2 linked regions of the Drosophila melanogaster genome follow. The protein of the gene in region 1 interacts with the protein of each later gene in a biochemical or structural test. Each region holds a gene or a part of one and is shown on either strand. Other genes may lie near its edges.

What was found.
Region 2: of the proteins of SmB (region 1) and Art1, one has a biochemical effect on the other in vitro, tested with the Drosophila melanogaster proteins (one study listed by BioGRID).

What each region holds. Positions count from the first base shown.
Region 1 is NT_033779.5:10,423,250-10,431,136, forward strand, and holds SmB (small ribonucleoprotein particle protein SmB), read right to left. Parts: upstream 3,379-7,887; 5' UTR 3,248-3,378; coding exon 3,245-3,247; intron 2,876-3,244; coding exon 2,279-2,875; 3' UTR 2,234-2,278; downstream 1-2,233. Other genes in the region: Wdfy2 (WD repeat and FYVE domain containing 2), read left to right, coding at 271-431, 502-849, 1,122-1,234, 1,295-1,421, 1,485-1,681, 1,743-2,023; KdelR (KDEL receptor), read left to right, coding at 3,922-4,560; CG5188 (uncharacterized protein), read left to right, coding at 5,599-5,681, 5,737-6,410, 6,466-6,662; Bug22 (basal body up regulated gene 22), read right to left, coding at 6,810-7,133, 7,190-7,465. UniProt on the Drosophila melanogaster protein: Plays a role in pre-mRNA splicing as a core component of the spliceosomal U1, U2, U4 and U5 small nuclear ribonucleoproteins (snRNPs), the building blocks of the spliceosome. Involved in germline establishment and development.
Region 2 is NT_033777.3:10,785,333-10,790,833, reverse strand, and holds Art1 (arginine methyltransferase 1), read left to right. Parts: upstream 1-2,607; 5' UTR 2,608-2,719; coding exon 2,720-2,722; intron 2,723-2,785; coding exon 2,786-3,061; intron 3,062-3,129; coding exon 3,130-3,359; intron 3,360-3,446; coding exon 3,447-4,068; 3' UTR 4,069-4,353; downstream 4,354-5,501. Other genes in the region: Mcm5 (minichromosome maintenance 5), read right to left, coding at 1-794, 853-1,963, 2,018-2,169; Rbp1 (RNA-binding protein 1), read right to left, coding at 5,314-5,431.

The sequences.
Region 1 (7,887 bases):
CTAACAATTAAGATTCTATTTTCATTTCATCGATTCCACTATTCCGCAGCATTCCTAAACTTGGCGTCGCTATCTAGACGAGCTTTCCAACAACAAAGTTCAGTATATTTAATGTTAAACAAAATAACACAGTTTTGTTAATTGATTGTGAATCACGTATCTCCATTCACCTTCCCCAGTCCGAGAATCGGATTGTTTATAACCGCATTATCATCGAGTGCGTTAAATAGGGCGTAGGCGTACCATCGGACTGGATCCACCTTAAATAATATGGCTGCCGAGATAAAACCAGCTCAGCGGACCAACAATGATCGCTTTAACACCTCCAAAAAGCCGGAATTGCTGAGTAAGCTGGAGGGCAGCAGCGACGATGTGAACGCAGCGATCCTAATTCCGGGCGAAAACGGCGTAATTAGCGTTTCCGATGACAAGTGCGTAGCTGTAGCCCATTAAAAATATACACAAATGGTATGCCTGACATTTTCATGTTTTCCCCAATAGAACCGTTCGCGTTTGGCTAAAACGCGATTCTGGTCAATATTGGCCTAGCATTTGCCAGTATATGCCTTCCGGCTGCACGGCCATCGAGTACGTTTCGGAATCCCGGCACCTGTACGTCGGCCAGGAAAACGGAACGGTCACCCAGTACGCGCTATCCGAAGACTGCAATCGCCTGTCCTTCCTGCGGGATTACTTGTCCCATCAAGCGCGGGTCATGGCCGTGGTCTTCTCGAAAACCCACAAGTGGATACTCTCCGCCGGCAAAGATAAGCAGTTCGCCTATCATTGCACGGAGAGCGGCAAACGGGTGGGCGGATACAACTTTGAGACACCATGCACGGCTCTCCAGTAAGTATGATAAATGGATGGTGAAAGGGGGAAGGGGGTGCGACAGTGGATATGGGATAAGCGGGTCATTTAATTGGATTAAACTGCTTTCTTTGACACGGCAATAAACTGCAATTCTTCACGGCTATGGAATTCATTTAGAATTTGAGAACCTTCTATTGTTAATGACGTGTCAACTGAGTCATTTTATCTACACAAAATTTTGGCATAAATGTGTGCACTGTGCGAAATATTCTATAAGCAACATATAATTAATTATAATCTGCGTTTAGGTTCGACGCTTTGGCCAAGTATGCCTTTGTGGGCGATCATGCTGGACAGATAACAATGCTAAGGTGCGATGTTCAGGGAGTGCAACTAATTACCACTTTCAATGGACATTCGGGTAAACAAGTTACAAATGATATTTAGTAAGCTAATTATATACGAATTGGTTAATTTTTAGCGGAAATCCGGTGCCTCAAATGGGTGGAAGGCCCTCAGCTCTTGTTTAGCGGAGCTTGCGATCAGTCCGTGCTAGTTTGGGATGTTGGTGGCAAACGTGGCACCATTTACGAGCTGCAGGGACATAGGTATCTCCAATCTTAAATAATATTCATAAAATAAGATAGTAATCGGCACTTCTGATTATGTAGCAACAAAGTTTCCGCCCTGTCGTACGCGAATCACACGCAACAACTGATAAGCTGTGGCGAAGATTCAGTAGTGGTTTTTTGGGAAATGAATGCAATGCGGAAAGAGGTTCCTGGCTGGGTGGATACCAACAACTGTCAGCTTTGCTCCAGGCCCTTCTTCTGGAACTTCCGCTCAATGATGGATCAAAAGCAGCTGGGTGAGATAAATAGCTTACACTTGAGTTACTCTTTGTTTTACAAGTAATTTCTGACTGTCAGGAATACGACAGCATCATTGTCGCCACTGCGGCAAAGCCGTGTGCGACAACTGTTCCACCAATCGCATTAACATACCCATAATGGGCTTCGAGTTTGATGTGCGTACCTGTGATCCGTGCTACAAACAACTTCAGACAGTCGAGCGCCCCTCGCTGGCTTCATTCAATGACGCCAAGCATTCGATCGTCTACATGGACCTGGACGAGGACAGAAAGCGCCTGTTGACAGTGGGCCAGGACAGGCTCATCAAGATCTGGGATCTCTCCAACATCTGGGCATAAAACATCCTGTACGCACACGCACGTACCAAAGGTATAATCATTCACGAGGCGTTTCGGTCTTAACTGGAACACCCAATTAACGAACGATGTGGCTGGCAACGACCAAATCCAGTCCCTGCTGCTTAGGTTCTCATATAATTGATGTAAAGCAATAATCATTGTATGTACGTATGCTTACATTCAACACATAAATACACGAATCCATCGATTAAGTGGTGTTTTCTAAATGAGTTTTTATTAGATTGTACTTTATACTTAATAGCCACCCCTGCCCGGTGGTGGTGCTCCACGGATCATGCTGGGCGGCGGTCCGCGCATCGGTGGCGGAGCACCGCGTCCCATGTTTCCTGGCATCGAGGGCATGCCGCCGGGAATCATGCCCGGTGGCGGTGCACCCATCATCGGTGCTCGTGGCACTCCTCGTCCCATCGGAGCCATGTGCTGTTGGGCGGGTCCGCCCACACCTCTCACGGGACCCTGGAGACCCGCTGGCACGGCGGACAAGTTGATAGGCATTCCGCGTCCGGCCACGCGACCGATTCCCGGACCAGGAGCTGCTCCCGGAATGGGAACTCGGGGCAGGCCCTCCTCTGGCGGCGGTGGTCCCTCCACCGTCAGTGAAACTATGTTCTCGCCGCGCAGCAATACAAAGCCCAGCACGCGCTTCTCCTCGCGCTCGGGCACCTTGGAATTCTTCGAGCGAATCTTCCGGAACTCCTCGCAGTCGCCGAGGATCAAGTTCATGTGTTTGTCGAAGGCTTTGAAGGTACCGATGAAGGTACGCGAGTCCTGCAGCACGATTCGCACCCGATAATTCAGGTGCTGAATCATTTTGTTGTTCTTGCCGATCGTCTGAAATAAAGGAATTCAAAGGATTTAATTGTGAAATACAATAGCATGCATAAAAGTCGCGCCATCTTTTGTAAACCATTTCGACCCTTTAAAAAAGCCGGTATTTATAAAAATTTTAATAAACCACAGAGTTTGAAATAGCAAATCTCAGCGTAATATCGAAGATCACTAAAAATCATAATTTTAAACAAATATAAAATAGTTAATTAGCCAAAACAAATTGTTTTATTTATTCGCATGCATGTTTGTATGTATGTATGCCTATGTAAATACGAAATCGCAACCGCGAAAGTAAGAATCTATGAATTAATACAACTAAACAAAACTTAACCATTGCAGTCAGATGCTTAAAACAGTGTTTTTACTTACCATTTTATTTGATTTCTATGTTAATTCTATCGCTTGTAAATAAAATACAGATGCCGGAACCTCACCACGGCTTTTTTCGATAGGCATGAAGAATAAATCGAGTGGCGTGTGCGGCGGTCAGCATTTTCTGGTGTCTTTCAATCGAGCCTATCGAATATAAATTTTTTATTGATAATCCACATGATTTTTTAAACAAACATTCGACTATCCCTAGCAAAAGAAGAGAAAAAAATTAAATTTTTTTTAAATCTTATGATAAAAAACGAAAAAAGAAAAAATTTGAATCAGTATGTTTTTTCTCAATTTTTTTCGTTAGAGATGGTCGAATTTTCATTAAAAAAATCATGTGGCGGCACTTATCGATATCGATAGGCAGTGGCCATGTTATCAAACTTATTCTTATTCATCAGCCACGTCATTGTTTATGCCGACATTCTGACAAGTTTTTTTCCGAAGCGGCAAAGCCCTCACATCTCTACTCGTTGGCAAATTAGGCGAAAAGTCATTTTGGTAACGTATGCAGCTGTTGAAACACTGAATGCCGCCATTATTGCTATAGTATACACTCCCATTTTCATATAGGCGTGCGTTCCGTGACGCAGCCGCAGCGAAAGGAAGTAGAACAATCAAACAGCCAACCGGGCAGCCAAGTAGCCAAGTCGGCGGATTAGATCACGATGAATATCTTTCGCTTTGCTGGGGATCTGTCGCATGTGTTTGCCATCATAATACTGCTGCTGAAGATATGGAAGACCCGCTCGTGCGCCGGAATATCGGGCAAGTCGCAGATCCTGTTCGCCGTGGTCTATCTGACGCGCTACCTGGATCTGTTCACCACCTACGTGAGCCTGTACAACTCGGTGATGAAGGTGTTGTTCCTGGCCACGTCCGGTGCCACCGTGTATTTGATGTACGTGAAGTTTAAGGCCACCTATGACCACAATCACGATTCGTTCCGCATCGAATTCCTGCTGGTGCCGTGCGCCCTGCTCTCGCTGGTGATCAATCATGAGTTTACCGTGATGGAAGTGCTGTGGACATTCTCGATCTATTTGGAATCGGTGGCCATTCTGCCGCAGCTGTTCCTAGTGAGCAGAACCGGCGAGGCCGAGTCCATCACCAGCCACTACCTCTTCGCCCTGGGATCGTACCGTGCACTCTACTTGCTCAACTGGGTCTACCGGTACATGGTCGAGTCGCACTACGACCTTATCGCGATCTTCGCCGGAGTTGTCCAGACCGTCTTGTACTGCGACTTCTTCTACTTATACATTACCAAAGTTCTTAAGGGCAAGAAGCTCCAGCTGCCGGCATAAGCGGATGATGGATAAGTGCATAGATGTGGGACATTTGTGTTTTGTCGGCACACATCATCAATCGACGTCAGAGTAAACAAGCGAGCGATCCACGGCCCGTTTGACAACGCGTATTTCGTTCATATTATACAAAAGATACATAATCGAGGGGAGCGCCTAAGTTGTAATTATTTAATGAGAAATAAACCGAAAATCGAAAGTACACTATAAACTATGCAATACCGACATCGTACATTGAAAATGTAACAAATGTATTAATCTCCGTTTTCCGAACTGCACTCACAAATTTTAGAATCCAAAAATATTAAAAAAAAAAATCATTACTCCAGTAAGAGATAACGTTAATTGACAAAATCGAAACAAATGTTTTCTCTTTTGCGCGGAGGCTTATCTGATTCGCAATAGTATCACAGAAGAGGTCATAGATTTCTTTGTTTAATTAAGAATTTAAAGTTATGCATTAAATAGCTCTTAAGTCGACTGTATCCTAAAAATCCGAGTAAAGTTAAGTCTTATTGTGTGGCTAATAGTAAAGTAAATGATGAGCGATGTCAACATATAATACACATAATATTCTGAAAAATAGGCCGCAGGATCGTAGGAACTCCATGTGCTGTTTTGCACAACTTCTATTGAATTCCGAAAAGATATATTAAATTTCTGCAACACCCTCGTTTCCCCTTGCACGCTTCGCAGTCATGCCAGATGCAAATGGAAAATTTAATTTATATGGAGATCATGTACGAAACAAATACGAACCTAATGTGGCATAAATAATATTTTAAACACTTTTGCAGATATTATATTATAAACAAAGTACAATAAACAACTCGATTTTCTTTTATTTATTAGATTACAATGCAAAGAGTTAGTAAGGATGTATAAATATATATTACATCTCTATAAATTGTTTAGTTTCCAAAAACTTGAAGCACTGTGCCGTTATCAAAAAAGGGGGAATACCCCTAACACTCGGCTGTTATCTGTAAAAATATTTACAGCACTGCCACACTGCAAAAATGTCATAATCAAAACAAAATGAGAAGAATTGGTCTTTTAAATAGTTTAATGCGCCAGAAAACGACTGCCAGAAACTTGTTTCAGTTCGGCAAAGTTAAGGGGTATGGGCTCCGGCTTATCTCTTTCAGGACTCTATTCTGATGGGTATACTTACAGAGATACTGGCAAATATGAACAGATCGTGTCCACCGGCCAAGTTTCCCCGGAACGTTTTGTGCCCGAGGAGATCAAGAAACCGGCGTACTACTTCAAGAATATGCCACCGGGTAACACGCTGGGATCGCCCGAAATCAAAAGCCAGGTTCAGATTGATGCCATGCGTCTAAGCGGCAGACTGGCGGCCAGGATACTGCGCGAATGCGGTAAACTAGCAACAGTTGGCACAACCACCGATCAGATTGATGCCTTTGCGCATGAAAGAATTCTCGAGTCCAAAGCGTATCCGTCGCCGCTGAGATACGCCGGCTTCCCAAAGTCCATTTGCACGTCGATCAACAATATCGCCTGTCACGGAATTCCGGATGACCGGCAGTTGGCCGATGGGGATATTATAAATATTGATGTCACAGTCTTTTTGAACGGCTACCATGGCGACTGTTCGGAAACATTTCGGGTGGGCAACGTGGACGAACGGGGTGGCTTTCTCGTGGAGGCCACTAAATCCTGTTTGGATCAGTGCATTTCGCTGTGCGGCCCCGGTGTGGAATTCAATGAGATTGGAAAGTTCATAGACAGATATTGCGACGAACATGATCTGGCATCGATAGCTGCTTTCATTGGACATGGAATCGGTAGCTATTTCCACGGCCCCCCGGAGATACTACACTATTGTAAGTAAGACTGTTTAAGAGACTCCTCCATTGCTAATCAAACTGCACATCGTAGATAATGAGATTCCTGGAAAGATGCAGCCCGGCATGACCTTCACCATTGAACCCATTCTGTCCCTGGGCGGAGCAGAAATAGCAGTGCTGCAAGATGGCTGGACGGCCATTAGTTTGGATGGCGCACGTAGCGCCCAGTTCGAGCACACCATTCTGATAACCGAGACGGGAACGGAGATACTTACAAGAGATCAATAGAATTTTATGTACATGATGCAATTTTTATTCGTGATTCCCATAAAGTGTTGAATGAGTGCTGGATGGCAGTCTTGTGCATTTTGTGCCGTTTTAATCGTCGACTCCGTCTGGTTAGGTGCTCTAATTGATTGATGATGCATACAGAATTTAGCTACAAATCGCATTGGACTTCTGCACCGGCTTCTGAATGGGAAGGAAGAGCTTAAACTCCGGCGGCAGCTCGTCCTCCGAGTAGAGACGATCGGAGAAGTAGACGCGTCTGATGCGGCAATTTGCATGAATCTGTACACGGAGTGTCTCCACATAATTGGTGCCGTATGCGCGACGCGTGAAGTCGGACAGGTTGAACTGGATCTGGTTCCATCCCTCGTCCAATCGCATGGGCATGGTGCAAATGAAAGGCTTGACACGAGTTGTCGACTGGTAGTTACTGGCCCTAAACCTTCGCCGCACGTTCTTGTCATCGAGAACCTGATTAGGGGCGGAAATCATGGAGTTACTGTCTTATGCAAGATGACGAAGCTTACCTGAACCTCGAAGGTGAAGTACTTCTTCATGTTCTTGATGATCATCACCAGGAAGGGCAGCTTGATGCCCAGCGTCTTCTTCGGATCTGCCGGACATGTTATGAACGTGGTGCTGACATTGGTGCCGACTATTTCCAACACGAGGCTTTGTATGTCGTTGTCGGTGATCCGCTTGATGTGTCCATTGCGCACCTTCTTATCCCACAGCTGCAGTGGCTTTGAGCCAATACTGTACAGAATTGATAGGAATCCCGATTGGAAAGTGTTTTTGAACATTTCGCGACTGCTGTGCAGTGACCGGTTCGCCCCACGGAGAGTATAGTCTCTTCGAAATTTATATAGGGCCAGTTAAGGTTGGCCGTAAATTTTTCGCACAGCCGAAACTCGTACAAACTACGAACATCAATGCGGAACTTGATTATTTTCTCATGTCAATGAGTTTGTTTAGCACGGCATCCTGTTGTTGCCATAACAATAAGCGAGCAGGGTTGCCACGTTTCCAAATGCTTGAACATGCTCGCATGTTTATGTGGGGTGCGAAATTGCGAAGTTGAAGGCCTGTCTCGCTTATGGAACGGTGAAAAAGAAACAGCTTAAAAAATAAATAATAACATGCGTTAATTTGGAATTGGCTAGACAAAAAACATCTATTATTGTTAAAAATTTTTATTTATGAATTAATAACTTTTAATCAAGTT
Region 2 (5,501 bases), on another chromosome or scaffold:
GATCCAATTGCAAAGCGACGTTTCAATTGCTTTTCGATGCGGTTGAGTGTTTCCTGGTCCTCCTCGGTCGTGAATCCTTCGGCTCCAGCCAAGCTGCCAGTCATCGCAGCATCAAGGGTAGACACTTGGAAAAGTCGAAGTGCTTCGTTCACGTGCTCATCTGTGGCGAACGGTTGCAAACGAATCTTTGCCAGCGACTCCGAAATGCGGATGACAGCCTCCAACTGACGCACAGTGATGGGAATGCTTAGCCGCTTGTCAGATGCCTTCTCCTGCTGGCCGGCTCCACTGCGCATAAGCACGTAGCGGCTCTTTAGCTTCTCGCCGGCAGCTTCGCTCAGGCGCGGACCGCAATGAGTTCGGCAGTAGTGAATATACTTCTTGAACGTCGACAGCGATATCTCACCCTCAGCCGGCTCTGAAGGCGCTGACTTGTTAGAGCTCAGATGCACGTTGATGATGTGCTTGGCCAGCGTAATGTCCCGCGACTCATCGTGAATATCCTTTACAATGAAAATCATGTCGAAACGGGAGAGAATTGTGGGCATAAAGTCAATGTTCTCCTCGCCCTTGGTGTCGTCCCATCGACCGAAAATGGAGTTGGCAGCTGCCAAGACCGAACAGCGTGAGTTCAAGGTGGTCGTGATGCCGGCTTTGGCAATGGATATTGTCTGCTGTTCCATGGCCTCGTGAATGGCCACACGATCATCCTCTCGCATTTTGTCGAACTCATCAATACAAACCACGCCTCCATCGGCCAGCACCATGGCTCCACCCTCCATGACAAAGTTACGCTAAAGATTAATGTATCATTTAATTTGTAAGGATTAGGTGTGCAATGTTTTTTCTCACCGTTTGAGGATCCTTCATAACCGAAGCCGTGAGACCAGCCGCACTGGAGCCTTTGCCCGAAGTGTAGACTGCTATGGGTGCCACCTTCTCCACAAACTTTAACAACTGTGACTTGGCAGTACCAGGATCTCCCAGCAGTAAGACGTTAATGTCGCCTCGACGGCACAGACCATCCGGTAAACGCTTACGAGACCCGCCAAAAAGCATACAAGTTATAGCTTTCTTGATATCCCGAGAGCCGAAGATGCTGGGCGCCAGTGACTGTGAGAGACGTTCGTAGATGTCCCCAGAGGCGGCCATTCGCCGGAAGTGCTCCTCCTCATCGGATGTGATGTTGCTGTATCGGGAGATGGCACCCGCACCCTCTGAGTCGACGGTGATGCCCACCACCCTCATGTAAGGAGCACGGACTCCAACGACGGCTTTCTCGCGACCATCCCGACGCGAGGGTTTGCCCACCTTGCGAATGGAGTATATGCCCTGGATAAGCACGCGATTGCCGGGCACCACGCGTTCACAGAGCGAGCGATCGCAGAAGAGCTGCAAGTGGCGGGGAATCTCACCCTGTGGCACAAAGTCGGGGAGCTCTTGCAACTTAAGGGTCTGGAAATCGACGCACTTGCACTTGTCCGGCATGATGAAGAAGGGGTCCAGCGGGCACTTGGGTCTGCCCGCCTGCTCCGTGTTGCACTTCCTGGGTAGGGCGTAGCCCTCCAAACCTGGATTCACTTTGAGATTCGGTATGACCGTGCTGCAGGACAGGCATTGGATAGACATCCGCGTAGCCTTGGCACTTATTCCTGAGGCTGCGACAATGATTCCGGCGATCTTAACCAGCTTGGATACGCAGTCCGACTTCAACTGTCGTATGTTGGTGGGATTCGCATTGGAGCTCAGAAGAATCTGGATGTCGTGCATATGTTCCTCGTGCTCCGGCCGGGGAGCTGTGATCTCGTCGGCTACCTCCCGGGCAGCCTCCTCGAAGATTTCCAAATGCTCCGTCGGCTGCTTGTTCAGCTTGTCAGCCAAGGTCTCATCGAAGCCCACCAAATCCTCCATCTCAATCTCCAAGAAGTAGCGACCATTAAGATAGTTCCTCTTCAGGGTGTCACTGCAGGGGGATTACCTTAAATGGGGTTCAGATGAGGAGATGCAGTTCACTTACCGGTATTTGTAGAAAAAGTTCTCCTCGTTAAATGTCCGGATGAACTCCTTGTACTTCTTCTTTACCGCCTGCAAGTTGATTTGCGCATCCTGCTGGTTATCTCCGCCGAAATTGTCCGAAAAGAACACACCCGCATCGTCGAAGCCTTCCATTTTGATAGGGTAAACAAAGTTAAAAAGAAGAACTGAGGTAATAGACGCTACTTCTGCTTCGCTTTATATTTCGTTTTTTAGTAAATGCGATGTGCGAATATTTTGCCGCCAAAATTACCGGGCAAGCGGTAGCTAGAGATGAGCACTTACCAGTAAAACTATCGGATCTTATTTACAACTATCGATGAAACGTGTTTCCCAGTTTATGTATTTTTGTTAGCAGTGAAATAGGACCAATACAACAAGCATTGCAGCAGTTAATAAACCATGAACGTATTTATTATATCTTATTGATGTTATGACAAAGATTATTTTACTCGATTATATGGAACATGCCTTAGACAACTGACTCCAATTCTTCCCAGCTCAAAAATACTAAAATTTCAGAAAAATCCAATAATATCGAGCTGGCGATATTTGTTTCCAGCTTTTGTGCGGGGGCAGTGTTGATAAGCGACCTTTTAAACTAGCGTGCTGTAGAAACAGTCCCATCATTTAGTCGCCAATTTTTCGACGTGAAAAACCAAAGAGACGCCGAAGAAATTAGAAAATGGTAAGTTTTGGTCAAAATGTGACGGCAATCGACAGGCCAGTAGCTGACGAACCCGATTCGCAGGCCAGCACAGACATTCCCATGGAGGCAGCTGTGGAATCGGCGACCGGCATCACGCCCAATTCAAATGCGAACTCAAACAATGTGGCGAAGAAGCTGCCCGCGGAGGGCTCCACCGGTGATAATCCCAATGCCAACGCCGACGAGATGACGTCCCGCGACTATTACTTTGACTCCTATGCCCATTTCGGGATCCACGAGGAGATGCTCAAGGACGAAGTGCGCACCGTCACATACCGCAACGCCATGTACCACAACAAGCATCTGTTTCAGGGCAAGGTAGGGTTAACTTCCGGGGTTTCCCCATTTTTCGTAGCCCTTCTCACCGGGGTATCTCCTCTTTGCAGACCGTACTGGACGTGGGTTGCGGTACCGGCATTCTCTCCATGTTCGCTGCCAAAGCCGGTGCTGCTCAGGTGATTGCCGTCGACTGCTCCAACATCATTGAGTTTGCCCGCCAAGTGGTCATTGACAACAATCTGCAGGATGTAATCACGGTTGTCAAGGGCAAGATTGAGGAGATTGAGCTTCCAAATGGTATTGAGGGAGTGGACATTATTATTTCCGAGTGGATGGGGTAGGTTTTCATTTGTAGTTAAGCTTTTAAAAAGTGGTCATATTTGATTTAGCATATTAACCATTTTAATTTCTTTCCTTAATTTAGTTACTGCCTGTTCTACGAATCCATGCTGGATACAGTGTTGTACGCTCGGGACAAGTGGCTGAAGAAGGACGGCATGATGTTCCCAGATAGGGGCACGCTGTATATCACGGCCATCGAGGACAGACAGTACAAGGACGAGAAGATCAACTGGTGGGACGATGTCTACGGCTTCGACATGAGCTGCATTCGTAAGGTGGCCGTGACCGAGCCACTGGTCGACGTGGTCGATCCCAAGCAAGTGGTATCCACATCTTGCATGGTCAAGGAGGTGGATCTGTATACCGTGCAAAAGGCCGATCTTAACTTCTCGTCCAAGTTCAGCCTATGCATCAAGCGCAACGACTTCGTGCAGGCATTAGTCACCTACTTTAATATAGAGTTCACCAAGTGCCACAAGCGTCTTGGGTTCAGTACGTCACCAGACTCCACATACACGCATTGGAAGCAAACCGTGTTCTACCTCGATGACCACATGACGGCAAAGAAGAACGAGGAGATCACTGGCACGTTCCAGATGAAGCCCAACGAGCGGAACAACCGTGACCTGGACTTCGTCATCGACATTAATTTCAAGGGCGAATTGTCTCAAATTCAGGAGTCGAACACATACCGCATGCGCTAGGGGCAGCCATAACCAATCCGATCTGCCATTTGGGATGGGGCTCAGAGCCCTGCAGCGAGGATACATACAATGACTAGACGTAAGGTTTATTCCAGTGCGAAATGTGCAACGAATTCGTGTTGCGTCTTCTCCTAAGTTTAAAGTGTACCTTTGTTAGTATACATAATATTTTACACTCGTGCGCCTGTTTAAATTATTATTCGAACATACTTCTAAGCAAGTTGTACAGCAGCACGTCAATTCTCACATAATAAACAGTGCACTAAGCACGTCCCCTTTTGCTGGAAACAAACTGTTTTTGATGATATATGAAACCAATCAAAACTCGCTGATTGTGCGTCTTTATTTTTTAGTAAAAAAAAAAAAGGAATTTCAAGAATGCATCGAAAGATTTATATTGTCATCTGAAGTAAATTTACTTGGATCGCAATCGACATAGGAATTCCTACAGAAAATACGGCCTTGGCCGGCTTGTTCTTTGATGCGACACTGCTTAAACGATATCCTTTTGGAAACATTAATGACGATCCCGAGAATCCGAGCGACTTCGACGATCGCGCGAGAAGCTGCGGCTGCGGGGCGATCGGGAGCGACGTGGCGAACGTGACCTGAAATAAACGCATTGGTAAAGAAGAAATGATTACTTAAAAGCTTAATAAAATTATTTAAATCAGCTTAGAATGGTAAGAAGTGTATGTACATACGCGCCTTACAAAGAGCTGCAAAATAGGAGTGTTAAATACTGCTAAATAGTTACTTAAACTAATTACCAGGGGGAACAAAAATGAAAGCTGTGCAAACTGTTTTGTTTCTATGAATTAAGCTGTGAACCAATTAAGATAAGAGTATTATTGCTAATGCTGCTATTACATTTAGCTGCTGCAATTACATTTACTATCTATTACCAACTGATATCCTATAATTAGAGTTTAAAGCTTTCTACTTTGTCGGATACATATGCAATAAGAAAATGGTCGAACAAATCTATAGTAGCTGTGATCATCAGCGTTAAACGCGTTCAAGGCCAGTTTTCTCGACATCAGAGTCAAGTACTTGAGAAAGCGGACGAACCCTCATATCATAGGCAACTAAATTAAAGAAATAATTGTAAGCAATTATTTGAAGGATACGCAGGATAACTTTAAAAAAGAACTCTTTGGGCGACTGCATTGCTTCTTCTAGGATGAAATCATTTGGGTTGCTAATCAAAACTTCTGTGAGGCTGTGACGCTGAACATGGTTAATTTAGAGTTGCAAGTTGAAGGTTGCTGGCTGTGGCTGTGAAGATGGTTGCTGTTGTAGATTGTTGATGTTGTAGAAGGAAGAAGTAGCAGTGGAAGTAGTTCTAGCCGAAGGAGTTATCCTGAAAAAGTGTCGATAACTCGAATTTAACAACCACTAAATGATTGGATCGTAGATAATATATGTATACA